3 linked regions of the Coturnix japonica genome follow. The main gene of each other region encodes a partner of the protein of the gene in region 2 in a complex. Links are inferred from orthologs where the notes say so. Each region holds a gene or a part of one and is shown on either strand. Other genes may lie near its edges.

Region 1 (4,054 bases), on a different chromosome or scaffold from region 2:
ATGAAAAATATACCTACTTCTCAGAGATGAGCGATGTAAAGCTCTCCACTTGTCCCCCAGCTAAGATGATACTTTTTTCATTCAAAGGATTGACTATTTGATGAAGAAAACGAGTAGCTCCAGACTTCCAGGAGTTGTATCCGAACAGAAGAACCACACGAAGATCTGGATTATTCTTCAGGCCTACAAAAACGAGAACTTCAGTCCCCTTATTCTGACTTCCCCAATGTCTAAGAGTTCTGCATACACTCTTTACTCCCTCCTTAAATAACACCTAATGCCTCCAGCAACGGCTTCCTGTTGTTGCAAGTGAAAAACTAGACACAGGGCAGCCATGTATTCATGAGCTGGGCTGCATTCCCTACACACATGAGAATTTCATTAAAGAACAGAGATGAAAAGTAGATGTAGCTGCTTCCTCTTGCTTTCAGCTTCTTTCCCAGAGCATTTGCGTTTTATCATGGCACACTTCTTGGGTTTTACTTCACTGTCCTAATTATCCTTTTACAGATTCAAACTGAGCACACACGTTGTTCAATGAGAACCACAGTGGAGTAAACAGCTTTACTTAGAAAATTAAAAACCATTAAGATGTGTGCATCAGCCTGTTCCCATCCCAAGAAAGAAACTTCCAGGTTCCAGGAAGACTCTCAGAGCTCTCAGATCACTCTTCATAAACACAACATGAAGAACGTAAACTGTTATTATTAAGACAGATAATTTTTCTTTATACCTTTCCTTGCTACAACACCCAACTTCATATCTAAAAACAAAAATACTTTGTTAAGGAAAAGCAGCAACTCCTTCCCACTCCCTTCTAAACAGTGATGGCCAAAATAATTCCCTGTGGCACAAAACTCATTTTAATCAATTACTGGGTTGCTTCAAACCCACTAGCTCCCCTTTAGCAGCTCTGCTTGCAGCATGAATGAAGAAGTTTGAGACAAACTCAGGATAATAACCTCAGTGCTCCCAAGAATGGGTGGAACAGAGATGGGTGGTTACCAGAGCAGCCCTGCAGAGCCTCAGTGCTCTGTGAACACAGCACAGGAGCTGCTGGTCCCACATGCAGTTTCACGCTGGATCCTCAAAGAGCAGCCAAACACTCGACAAAAGCCCAGATTGAAGGCAGAACAAGGACATACCTGCTTCAGCAAATTTGTTTTCATCAATGACCCTATTCTTTACTTCTTTAGGAAAATGGAAGGTTTGGATTTTAACCCCATCAATTTTGGGAAACAAAAGAGCAAACCCAGCTTCACCATCTTCAATTTCTTGAGGCTGATTGCTGCTTGAACCCATAGGGGTAACTACAAAGACACAAACAAAGAAAGATTAGTGATTGACACTTGTGTCTGGCTAAAAGAGGTAGAACAGCATGTGCAATTTACAATGTGACAGCTCATTCCCATCACAACACATCTAACTGATAACTGGTGTGAATGTTTTTTTGCTGTTGTTGTGAAAGATGAAAGGTGTAACAGCTCCATTGTCCACAAACGATGCTAAAGTCACTTTGCATGAGAAGACAGACATATACACTAATTTTCCTTACTCTAAGTACTCAAACAGCCATAGGCACAGAATCAAATGTTCACGGCTATTAACTTCACACAGGTGTTTATGCAGCCCTGTACTCCTTCATGCTATAGGCCTGTTCTTATTAGTCACGGCTGCAGTGACAGAGACTGGAAGCAAACACCAAGCAAACACCTAGAAAATGTTTTAACACATAAACGCTTTTGCTGCCGAGAAGCACGGCACGAGCTATGCCTTGAAAACACAGAAACAAGGAAGAAGGTTTCCTCTTAGTATACTGCAGGATGAGAACGGAAGGTGAGAAGACAGGCACGAACACGCTACTAAGGAGCGCAGCACTGCAAGGAGGCTCCTACCTACGATCCCCGGGGTGAGCAGTCCAAGGACCTGACATCGCTTTGGCAACAGTTTCTCGATCGCAAGGGCTGTTTCTTTGCTGTTTCTTTTCCTGGCTATTGAAAAGGAAACAAAAACGGCGCGGAGGAGCTGAAGCGATCATTGCAAAGCTGACAGGAACACGAAGCCCCGGCCGGTCCCTTCTGGCGCCACGGCCGCTACCGACGCCATTGCCCCGTTTAGTGCCGCGAGCCGTGGCCGCGCTTCGTTCCCCGCTGGCCTCATCTCGCTCCTCCCGCCGGTCCCCGCCCGTCCCGCGGTACCTTTCTTGTGCTCGTGACACTCCTCGTGCCCGCTGAACGTCTCGGCGTCGGCGATGTACAGCACGGTGTGCGGCAGGACGTGCACCCTCTGCAAGGACACGCGCGGCGCGGGCTCGTCACGCCGCCCCGGTACCGGCCCCGCCCGGCAGGAACGAACCGGGCCCCGCCCCCCGACGCACCTGGAGCTCCGTGTGCAGGGCGCGGAGCAGCGCGTGTCCGCCGGGCGGGCCGGGCTCCAGCGCCGACACCCAACTGAGCCGCTGCCGCGTGCGCAGGATCCGCCGCGCGCACTCCCTCCACAGGCGGCACACGCTGCAACACAGCGCCCGGCCCGTCACCTCAACAACGGCGCACACACCTCCGCCCGACCCCCCCCTTACCCCGTCTCTTACCAGGCGGCCCGGAGCAGCGCTTTGGTGGGCAGGAAGCCGAGCACGCGCTCCACCACCTCGGCCAGGTTCCCGAGCACGAGGCCGCCCTTCCCCGGCCCGTCCATGTCCGTGTCCATGGCCACACGCTGCTCAGCGCCACACCCGACACCCACCGAGCACGGCGGGACGCGCTTCCGCTTCCGGCGACGGCACTTCCGCCCGCATCCCTTCCGGCCCCGCCCCGGAAGCGGCTCGTACAGCGGGTGTCAAACGGCTTTATTGGCACCTCGGTGCAGGTTCACACACACACACACACAGCACGGCACGGGGCGGCTCGGACGGGCGGGACGGGCCGGGCCGGGCCCACCAAGGGATGGGGGCAGCGCTGGGCCCGGCCCCGTCCGACGCTGCGGCTCGTCCCGTCGCACGTCCACGCTCGCTGTCGCCCCGTCGTGCCGCACTCGCTTTATCAGTTCGTTAGTTGACAAATGATTGCAACAACCCGTCAATTAATGGATCGCCTACAGACGTGGGCTTTTGTTGGTTATTGTAGGGATTGCAATGACTCGGAGCCTCGGCCGTGCAGCTGCAGCCCATGGGCTGTGCTGTGCTGCAGGCACAACGCCTGCACTGCTGGAGGGGAAGCAGAGCAAAAGCATCGGGCCGTGAGCATCTCTCCCAAGAAATAGTTCGTATTCTCATACAGCCATGAAAATGTTTAATGACGTAACGTACATGTGCTTGTCCTATATCAGTAATTTGGAAGTACTACAAACGCTGCCATTTTAGACCGGAGGGAAAAAAAACAAACAAAACTACTGTGATTCGCAAGGTCTGACATTTCCTATAACAGTATTAAACAACATAGTCAACCTCCTGGCTTTAAATGAAACAACACAACTCAAGTCTCGGCGCTCTGCATCCTGCGAAAGGTAAGAAATGCACTGAAGTGTGTGACCGAGCCCTGCTGAATGCTCCAGTGCAGCATTACACCTCCAGAGTAAAAAAGGGGAGAAGGGAGGGAGTGGCCCAAATACGCTTCATCCATGAAGAACAAATACAGCAAAGGCCCAGACTGCTCAGTCCAAGATGCCTAAGATGAGCGGAATGGTAAGGCTGCAACTTATACTTGACGTGTCAGTTGACAGATTATCCACTAACTTATCTAATAGCTAAAGTCTTCAGTACGGCTGTTATAGGGGCACTCATAGCTCGAGTCTCTGTGTTGGAAAACATTAAAAAGAGCTCTTTTTGTTGGCATTGGTCCAGGTATACAACAGTCCTCGGTATTAACCGTCTTCTTTTGGAGGAGTGTACCAGCCTATGGAGAACAGAGAAATGCATTAGGCGCTGCCCTGGCTCCGCTCAAAGGAGCTTACCAGCTGCCTTCTGAATGGGTGGCAGAAATGTCAGCTGAGTAACTCTGGCTCCTGACAGCATTTGGTATGTTGAATTCTATCGGATCAAGTGTACGTGGCCTTTACT
Region 2 (3,511 bases):
AGACCAGCTGCATAGGTACGCACTCCTGAGCTTTTGTTGGGCTGTCATTATCAGGTATTTCCTTCTCGATAAAGGTTACAATTGGTGGCACCTGAACATCTTTAGTACTGGAACTGGAATCTGAAGTATGAACTTTGTCATTTCCAAAAGCTTTCTGGAATTTCCTATACTTGGGGCACTGGGAAGATGAGCTGGAAACATTACCTTTTTCTAAATGCATAGGATCTGAGGTTGGGTTGGCATTATCTTGAAGGGCAGGTGATGCTTTAGCACTGTCATCATCTTTACAGAGCTTTGCATGAGAGGCTTGAATATATTCTTTTTCTAGAAGTTCTTCCGCTTCATCGTCTATTTCTAGGTCTCCATCATCCACGTTGCTAATTTTAGGATTTACTTTCCTACAATGCTGTGTGCAGCATTTCTTCCTAGGCCACTCTTGATCTGATTTACAGTCCAAAAACTTGAATTTGAGAAATTGAAAGCAAGACTCTTCAATGTTCCGTACGCCCAAGAATTCAGCACACTTGCAAACTTCAGACACGTTGTCTTTATTCAAAATAAGTTTAGCTGTGTATGCAAACTGAAGCAAGGGGCTAAATCCCTTAAGCGTTACCTATGGAAGAAAAACAAGAAAAAAATTAGCACGGCCAACTTCCTGCTTGGTGAAACTCTCTTGCTTCCCATTTACCAGTGCAAACCACATAAAAAAGAACAAGGCCCCACTTATCCACTTCTGTTTCACTGGGTAGTAGTTAGGTTGCCAAGTTTCTAGTTACAGTCCCAACATGTACATGGGCTTAAACACCCAGAACTCACATCCTGTATTCAGAAAGTCATGCCATCAGGACAAAGAACGAGAGACAAGCAGCAGTTTTGCTTCAGAAAGGAAATCTGGCCACACACATTGTGAAGCAAATAAGAAATAATTATATCCTGTATATTTTATATGGCAGTTATTTTCTTCACTGTGATCAACCTCTTAAACAACTCTCATAATACAGTACTAAAAAGTGAAATTTATTGCTGTAATCTGAAAACCAGGAGAGGGACTCAAATTTTATAAAGATAATTTCCATAGTAAAATTACACGTGAGTTATTCCTGAGAAAGATCAAAACGCTGCTGGCATGAATCATTCCTTTAAAGAGCAATTACTGCTATTTGCTCAGTTTCATGCATCACTGATATAAAGAACTTTGAAGTAATTGAGTTTGACCGCACACAATTATTTACTACTGTAGCCATCTATGCCTTTCTTCCTCTCATGGACAAAAAGAATAGTAACCAAAACCCTAAGCCAACAGCAGTTACAGTCTCTTTGGAGAAGGTAAGCCTTTTGGAACAGTTCCATCATTATCAACTCAGCTTCTACTACAGAGCAGTTACCTAAAAGGGAATTCAAAGATAAACAATCCTGCTTATCATTGAAAAAATTACTAAGAAAGCAGGTAGAAAGGTGTAAACAGACAGTTGTTAGGGAAAATGGTAAATTTCTCAACCAATATGCTACTCATGTATCCCCTGTATAGCCCTGAACCATGACCCATGTAGGGGTGTTAGAGTATTGTGAAGTTATGAAACAGCAGAGGTAGACAATAATAGTGCTGACATTGCTATTTAGTAGTTAAACAGTTAAAATGTATAGTTTAACCATAAGACAGATGGAATGGACTGGTCTAGCCCGGATGGCTCGGATGAAAGAAGATAATGAGTTTTTGGACAAGTTCAAAAGAAGAGTAACACGTGAAGCATGAAGCCTGGGCCTAGGATGAAACACGAGAAAGAAGGACTGAAGATGTATTGATTAATCACGAGAAATGAATAACATAAATGATGTAATGTTTACCTAATCATATAAATATAGGACGTTTGTAAAGCTTAAGGGTCATTCACTAGGAGTGACCCAAGCTCTGTATGCATGTTTCACCTGAGCACTGAGCTTGTTAATAAAATCAACCCTGGAGTACCCACGAGTTCGAGTCTCGACCTGGTTCCTTTCTGCAACACAGTCATATTAAAAGTTACATGCTACTTCCTTTAGCAAGTAAAAATAAAATGGAGTATGTCCATTATTATTACTACTATAGCCCAAGCCCACACACTGGGCTTTTTATTTCTAAAGAACATGGAAATACCAAATAAAAGGCAGTTGAAGTGATCTATGCAGACAGCTTAGCAAAATATTCTGAAAACTCTTAAACCTAAAGAATTCTAAAAATGTTTCAAATATACCCTAAAGACAACATGGTGATCTGGTCAGTATTCTTAATTCATCCTCAAAAAAAAAAAAAAAAAAAAAGTGAAAAGGAAAAGAGTTTATCTATGTGCTTGCAAGGTATATTTATACCTACTATAAATAAATAAGATTTATTGGTTGTAAACAGACTACATTCATACATGAAACCAAACCAAACGAATATGTTTCAAAATTGTACATACTTCATTTACCACTCCTTGCTAAAAAAGAATAAATAAATTGAAAGATTTACAGAACAAAAAACACTTTGCTCCTCATATTTTCTCCCATATTTTCTAGCTAGCTTTCCTCAAACATGATCTATCACTGGAAAGACTGTTGGTCTGAATGAAGAGAAGTCTGGCAGAAGCTATTTGTTTCATCTGTATTGCTGACGGCAGTCTAATTTCAGAGTGTAACTTCTGTAGGAAGACAATAGAAGCGACTGACAGCAAGGTGTCACCGGTTAGCTTTGATGATCTATATGAAACAAGTTAATGTCAATATTCAAGTATTTCACGTTTTGGACCGGCATATTTTATTTTGAACTTCAAAAACTTTGGATGATCAAAAGGGTTAAGAAATTGCCAAGCCAATTAGTATTTATTTATTTGTCCCTCTCAAGTACTCAGTTTCATAAACTGACTCATTTCAAAACATTTAGCAGTTTCCAAAAGACAAGCTCCAATTTCACAAAGTGTTTTTTACCAAGTGATGAGATCAAATTATCAGAAGATAAGATGCTCTGCTGGTATTTTTGCTTGTTATTGCAGCACATTCAGCTTTTACATCAGTAGTACTAGACAATGTTGTGAAGTTGCAGGCTTAAAAGGATTTATCTCACTCATACTATTTGCATTATTAACATGCTAAGCCACTATAGAGAAGAGAGGGAAGAAGAAACGAACATACAGAGGCAACAGGAAGAATGAATAAAGCTGACAGTGTTATCATGGCGTAACATCAGTTTGTAGCAAATTCATCAAAACACATCAAAAGAGATGATGTGATCATTTTTGGTTTTCAGTAATCAGATATTACAGTTACAGAGAATCCTTGTGTTTATATATTATAGAGCTAGTGAATGAGCTATTTTAGGAAGATACAGGCTTTCTGAATACATAATTATGTTAAGGTAGTGTTCAACTTGCTCTTGTACACAAACAAGTTGCTGAAGTGACGTCACTACAGATATTCATTGTCACGCACATTTCCTCCTGGCTTTAATGATTCTAGATGACTTGCCAACAATTTTCATGTTATTTTTAACTCCCTT
Region 3 (4,290 bases), on a different chromosome or scaffold from region 2:
TGGAACGTAGCACAAAGTTTTCCAAGCATCTCCATTTCATGCTTACAAACACTGGGAAGGAAGGGCTGGCTGCTCTGCCTTACCAGCCAGCAGGAAGGAGCTCAACAGCTCTGCTAGAAGCCAGGCACTGGTCTCTGTCCAGAGCTGCAAACATCCCAGCACCAGGAGCAACAAACAAGCATGTGACAAAAACACCAGCAGCACTGCTTTGAGAAAACTTCAGTCCTAGAGCAGAACAAGGATTCAGGGAGATCTAACCCTGAGCCTAAGGCTCCATCTGTCCTGCCCCAGGAGCTTGGCTTTGCATGGGAATGAGGGGAAATGATCTGCACAGTCAGGAGTAGTGAAACAGCACAACCAGATGTGCTTGCACAGTACTTGCCTGCAAAGTATATGTAAACCACTGCAAGCTGTAATGGGGGGCTGCTTCCAGAGAGGCATGAGAGCGGCATGACAAAGTCACACTATTAAAAGAACAAGTTTATGATCATGCTAGACTGCCATTTTTGATAATGTGAAACTGGACACGTGCTGAAGAGACTACAGAAGCCATACAACTGATGAGAAGAAGTCATTAAGGTGTACTTATGCCAGTCTGATCTCAAGTTGTAACAGCCCAATACCAAGGATAACACGAGGAGTCACCTGCGGCACTGAGAGACGTGGTTTAGCAGGCATGGTGGTGATGGGTTTGTGGTTAGACTAGATGATCTTAAAGGTCCCTTCCAACCCTAATGATTCTATGATCTTAAATTAACAGTGACAAAGAAATGGATCCTTTATTTTAGTAAAACTGTGAGGCAGAGTTTTGATCACAGAAGAGATTAAGACAGATATGGCAGTTTGTGATTTCTTAAATATCTGCCACGGGGGAATTTGGGCAGTGAATCTACTGAAAAAATAAAAAAAAATGTTGCATGCCATTACAACATAACTAAGACAGGAATGCATATTTCCAAAACAAAACAAACCACTGCCAACAACAAAAAACAAGCACAGACTTAATTTTATGTGGAAGACCAATAGCAGAATGTCAGTGTTTGTGGACAAGAGATCAGAAATCACTTTCAGTGCTGGGGTTGCACAACCAGAGTTTACAGAGAGAACGGATCTGGTCACAGACAGGAAGAGCCATCTGTCACACTGCTCTGTTAACACACTGCTTCAAGTTCAGCCATCTAACCCCAAAGAAAACTTCTGTAGTACTCCAAGTCCAACTGGTTCCAGTCTGAAGGAACCCTGACAACAAACTTTGGAAAACACTGCAGACTCCAGCTCCAGCAATGGTTCTCACCTGGTCTAAGGCTCAGCTGAAGAACAGTGTGTAGAATGATAGACCGAGCAGCCTGAACTATAAGTTACTCTAGAAAGCAAACAGTAATCAAGGAACCAAAGCACAGCAGAAGGGAGAGGAAGCAAAGCAAGACCCGGCATATACAAAGCAATGGGCTGTTAAAGAACAGAGCTCAGAAGTGCTACAAGAATTCATTATGACTGGAAGCACAGTAAAACCAAGACGAACTCAGAACACAGCCTGGAAGAAGCTGTATGCCCCTCAGCACAGCCTGCTCGTACCGCTCTGACTCGCACAGAACGAGCGGAGCTCACCGGCTGCCCGCCTGCTCCCGAACAGCCGACCCGGAGAGCACCACGCGTGCGAGGTGCGCTACAAAGTCATGCAACAGGCTGAAGTCGAAGTGCTTCCGAGGCAGCGCACCGCGACTGCCTCCGCTTCAACTTCAGAGCTCACGCCGCACAGGGTAAGGGACCAAGGCCGCTCCTCCCGTACCTCAGCCGGGCCGGGCCAGCAGTTCGGGCAGGAGCACGACCGCGCGTGTCCGAGGAGCGGCCGCAGGTGAGGGGGCTGAGCCGCGACCCCCGGGGCAAGGCGGGCGGCTGCAGCCCCACCCGGGCCTACCGGCCCCGCGGCCCTGAAGGCAGCCCCGGCCCGGCGACCCACCTTGAGCAGGATGGAGGGCGGCAGCTGGTTGATGTCGGGCGGCGACGACGGTTCCCGGCAGCCGTCCCCGGGGTGCTCCAAAGGCTCCTCGCCGCTCCGCTCCTTCACTCCCTCCTTCTCGTCTCCGGAGGGAGGGGGCGGCGGCGATACCGACCGGTCCCCTCCGTCTCCGCTCCCGGCGGGGCACCTCGGCGGCGCGGTCCCGCCGCTCCCCGCCCCGTCGGCGGCCGAGGGCAAGGCGCAGGGCTGCGGCTCCGCGGGGCACTGGCAGGCAGCAGCTTCGGGGTCCGCCGCGCCGGCGGCGCAGCGCGGCTGCTTGCAGGGGGTGCAGGCGGGCAGGCCGGCCCCCTTGCGCTTGCACACCATCTCGGAGACGGCCTCGCCAGGCGGCCCGGCCGGCCCCAGGAGGCCTCGCACCGGCGAGGGCAGCAGGCCCGAGAGGAGGAGGCGCCGGCAGCGGCCGCGCGGCTCCCAGGCGGCGGGCGGCAGGCGGAGGAGGCGGCGCGCGGCGCGCTGCTCGGCGGCGGCGTGGGACGCGTAGGGCGGCGGCAGCAGCGGGTCCCCGGCGGGCAGGGGCGGTTCCGGGGCGGACGAGCTGGCGCCGTGCACGATGAAGCAGAGCATGCAGGGCCCGCGCAGGAAGCAGCTCCGGCTGCGCGGCGGCACCTTCCTCCCGCGGCGGCGACGGCGGCCGCCGCTGTCCCGGCTCAGGCTGCTGGCCTCCTTGGAGAGCAGGTGGCCCATATAGGAGGCGGCGGCGAAAGGGCCCGCGGGGCGTCACCTGCGGGCGGCGGCCGCTGTCATGCTGCCGGCGGGGGCGGCAGGTGGCGGCGCCGGGGGCGGCGGGGCTGGTTCCGGGACGCGGAGCCGGGAGGGAGACGCTTCCGCTACCGCCGCCCTGACCTTCCCCGCGGGACGCGAGGAGGCGGCGCTGCGGAGGGGCCGCCGCCGCCGCCCGGTGGTGCTGCCGCCAGCGGCCGGGCCGGGAGCCGCCGCCGGAGAGACGGCCGGGAAGGGCCTGGAGGCCCGGCGGCCTCACTCGGGTGGAGACGGGGCCGCCCCATCACGCGCGGTGCGGGTGCGCTCAGGTAGAGCGAGGGTGCGGGGCTTGCGAGCGCGGCGTCTGTAGGTACGAGCGTGCGGACGGGGAGCCGCGGTACAGGAGCGCGGCGGCCGCGCTGAGGATGCTCCGGGCCCCGCTCTGCTCCCGGGGGCGTGCGGCTGCGGTGTGCGGAGCGAGGCAGAAATAAATCGATTGGTCAGAGCCGGTGGGGAAGCGGACAGGAGTGAAGGCGAGGCGTTTGCGATGGCCGAGTAACGCAAGCTGAGGGACTGATGGAAGCGTTCTGCTTCCGAAGCCACGTCTTCTCTAGCAATGCCTTCTTCACAGCTACACGCTCCGGCGAATCCCGTTTCCTGCTGTCTTGAATCGCTGCTGACCAGCACCTTTGCCCCTGTGTTACAGTTGCTCAGAGTGTGTACATCTTTGCAAATATAAACCGCAGTGCCGTAATTAGTACTGTCCACAGCAAACTTATTTTGCGTGTTTCAGGATTCGGTTCTAAATTATTGACGTAAAATGACTCGCATGTATAGGTTTAAATATATGAGGGACACTGCCTTTAGTAGAAGGTGTTTGGGGAGGGAGGAGACCAGCTGTAACTAGGATATATAAGGTACAGTATTGCTACTTAAAAATGAAGGGCCAGAGCAGAAGTGCACAGTGCCAGGTACTGTGGACAAAATCTTTGGGCCTGTTGCCCAGGAAAATGTTGTGTGAGGGTTAAAATACCTGTGACACTATTTTCCTTTGATTCCTCTTTATCAACCATTCAGTAAAAATAGGTTTGCTGAGAAGAATACTAATACATTATGTGATAAAAGTAGCATAATGTAATATTTTATCTGAGTTTTTAACTCACTGACACCCATCAATATAAACTGCAGCAGGTTCTGGCAAAAAAATTGGCAGGTCTATTCATCTCTCAGATTTACATTCTTTATTTTTATAAGAACAAATTCAGCTTGTAAAGGCAGTTAAAGCCAAGCACTCAAACTGAACAACATTCAGGAGAAATGCTTACAGTATCAAATATTCCAAACTAATCAGCTATGTCTGTGCAACTTCTAAAGAGTCACCGTGGCCTTGTCCTTACTCACATGATCACATAACTGCAGTACTTTTGGCAAAGGTGACTGACTTCTCTATGTTGCTTTTACATCTTACAGTCCGATATTGTCCCATGATTTTGAACTATATACATACAATATACATATACATATACATATAACTCACGTAGGGAGTTCTTCCTATTTCCAAAATATTTGCC

Evidence for each region. The genes of interacting proteins can lie anywhere in the genome.
Region 1: the proteins of BACH1 (region 2) and FBXO22 are in contact, whole or in part, in a cryo-EM structure (PDB 8S7D), measured with the Homo sapiens proteins. The link is inferred for Coturnix japonica from reciprocal best matches to the Homo sapiens genes BACH1 and FBXO22. Residues at the interface, in NP_001177.1 of Homo sapiens: Ser7, Val8, Phe9, Ala10, Tyr11, Glu12, Ser13, Ser14, Val15; in NP_671717.1 of Homo sapiens: Asp366, Gly371, Asn372, Phe373, Ile374, Leu375, Arg376, Lys377, Cys378.
Region 3: the proteins of BACH1 (region 2) and FBXL17 are in contact, whole or in part, in a cryo-EM structure (PDB 8UAH), measured with the Homo sapiens proteins. The link is inferred for Coturnix japonica from reciprocal best matches to the Homo sapiens genes BACH1 and FBXL17. Residues at the interface, in NP_001177.1 of Homo sapiens: Val20, Leu21, Ser23, Leu24, Gln27, Val32, Leu33, Asp35, Phe39, His48, Arg49, Ser50, Val51, Ala53, Ala54, Cys55, Ser56, Ser57, His60, Ser61, Arg62, Val64, Asn72, Thr74, Pro76, His116, Asn117; in NP_001156787.2 of Homo sapiens: Asp395, Arg421, Asn447, Gln473, Gln498, Glu499, Met524, Arg548, Cys574, Leu575, Tyr598, Val600, Ser601, Asp623, Trp626, Met651, Arg652, Val676, Gln678, Asp679, Cys680, Arg682, Thr683, Glu685, Gln689, Trp692.

What each region holds. Positions count from the first base shown.
Region 1 is NC_029525.1:2,728,552-2,732,605, forward strand, and holds the start of FBXO22 (F-box only protein 22), read right to left. Parts: upstream 2,807-4,054; 5' UTR 2,707-2,806; coding exon 2,591-2,706; intron 2,511-2,590; coding exon 2,378-2,510; intron 2,287-2,377; coding exon 2,199-2,286; intron 1,992-2,198; coding exon 1,896-1,991; intron 1,311-1,895; coding exon 1,146-1,310; intron 184-1,145; coding exon 18-183; intron 1-17. Other genes in the region: UBE2Q2 (ubiquitin-conjugating enzyme E2 Q2), read right to left, coding at 3,859-3,890. UniProt on the Homo sapiens protein: Substrate-recognition component of the SCF (SKP1-CUL1-F-box protein)-type E3 ubiquitin ligase complex that is implicated in the control of various cellular processes such as cell cycle control, transcriptional regulation, DNA damage repair, and apoptosis.
Region 2 is NC_029516.1:93,631,229-93,634,739, reverse strand, and holds part of BACH1 (transcription regulator protein BACH1), read right to left. Parts: intron 614-3,511; coding exon 1-613. UniProt on the Homo sapiens protein: Transcriptional regulator that acts as a repressor or activator, depending on the context. Binds to NF-E2 DNA binding sites. Plays important roles in coordinating transcription activation and repression by MAFK.
Region 3 is NC_029547.1:42,393,961-42,398,250, reverse strand, and holds the start of FBXL17 (F-box/LRR-repeat protein 17), read right to left. Parts: upstream 2,807-4,290; 5' UTR 2,705-2,806; coding exon 1,961-2,704; intron 1-1,960. UniProt on the Homo sapiens protein: Substrate-recognition component of the SCF(FBXL17) E3 ubiquitin ligase complex, a key component of a quality control pathway required to ensure functional dimerization of BTB domain-containing proteins (dimerization quality control, DQC).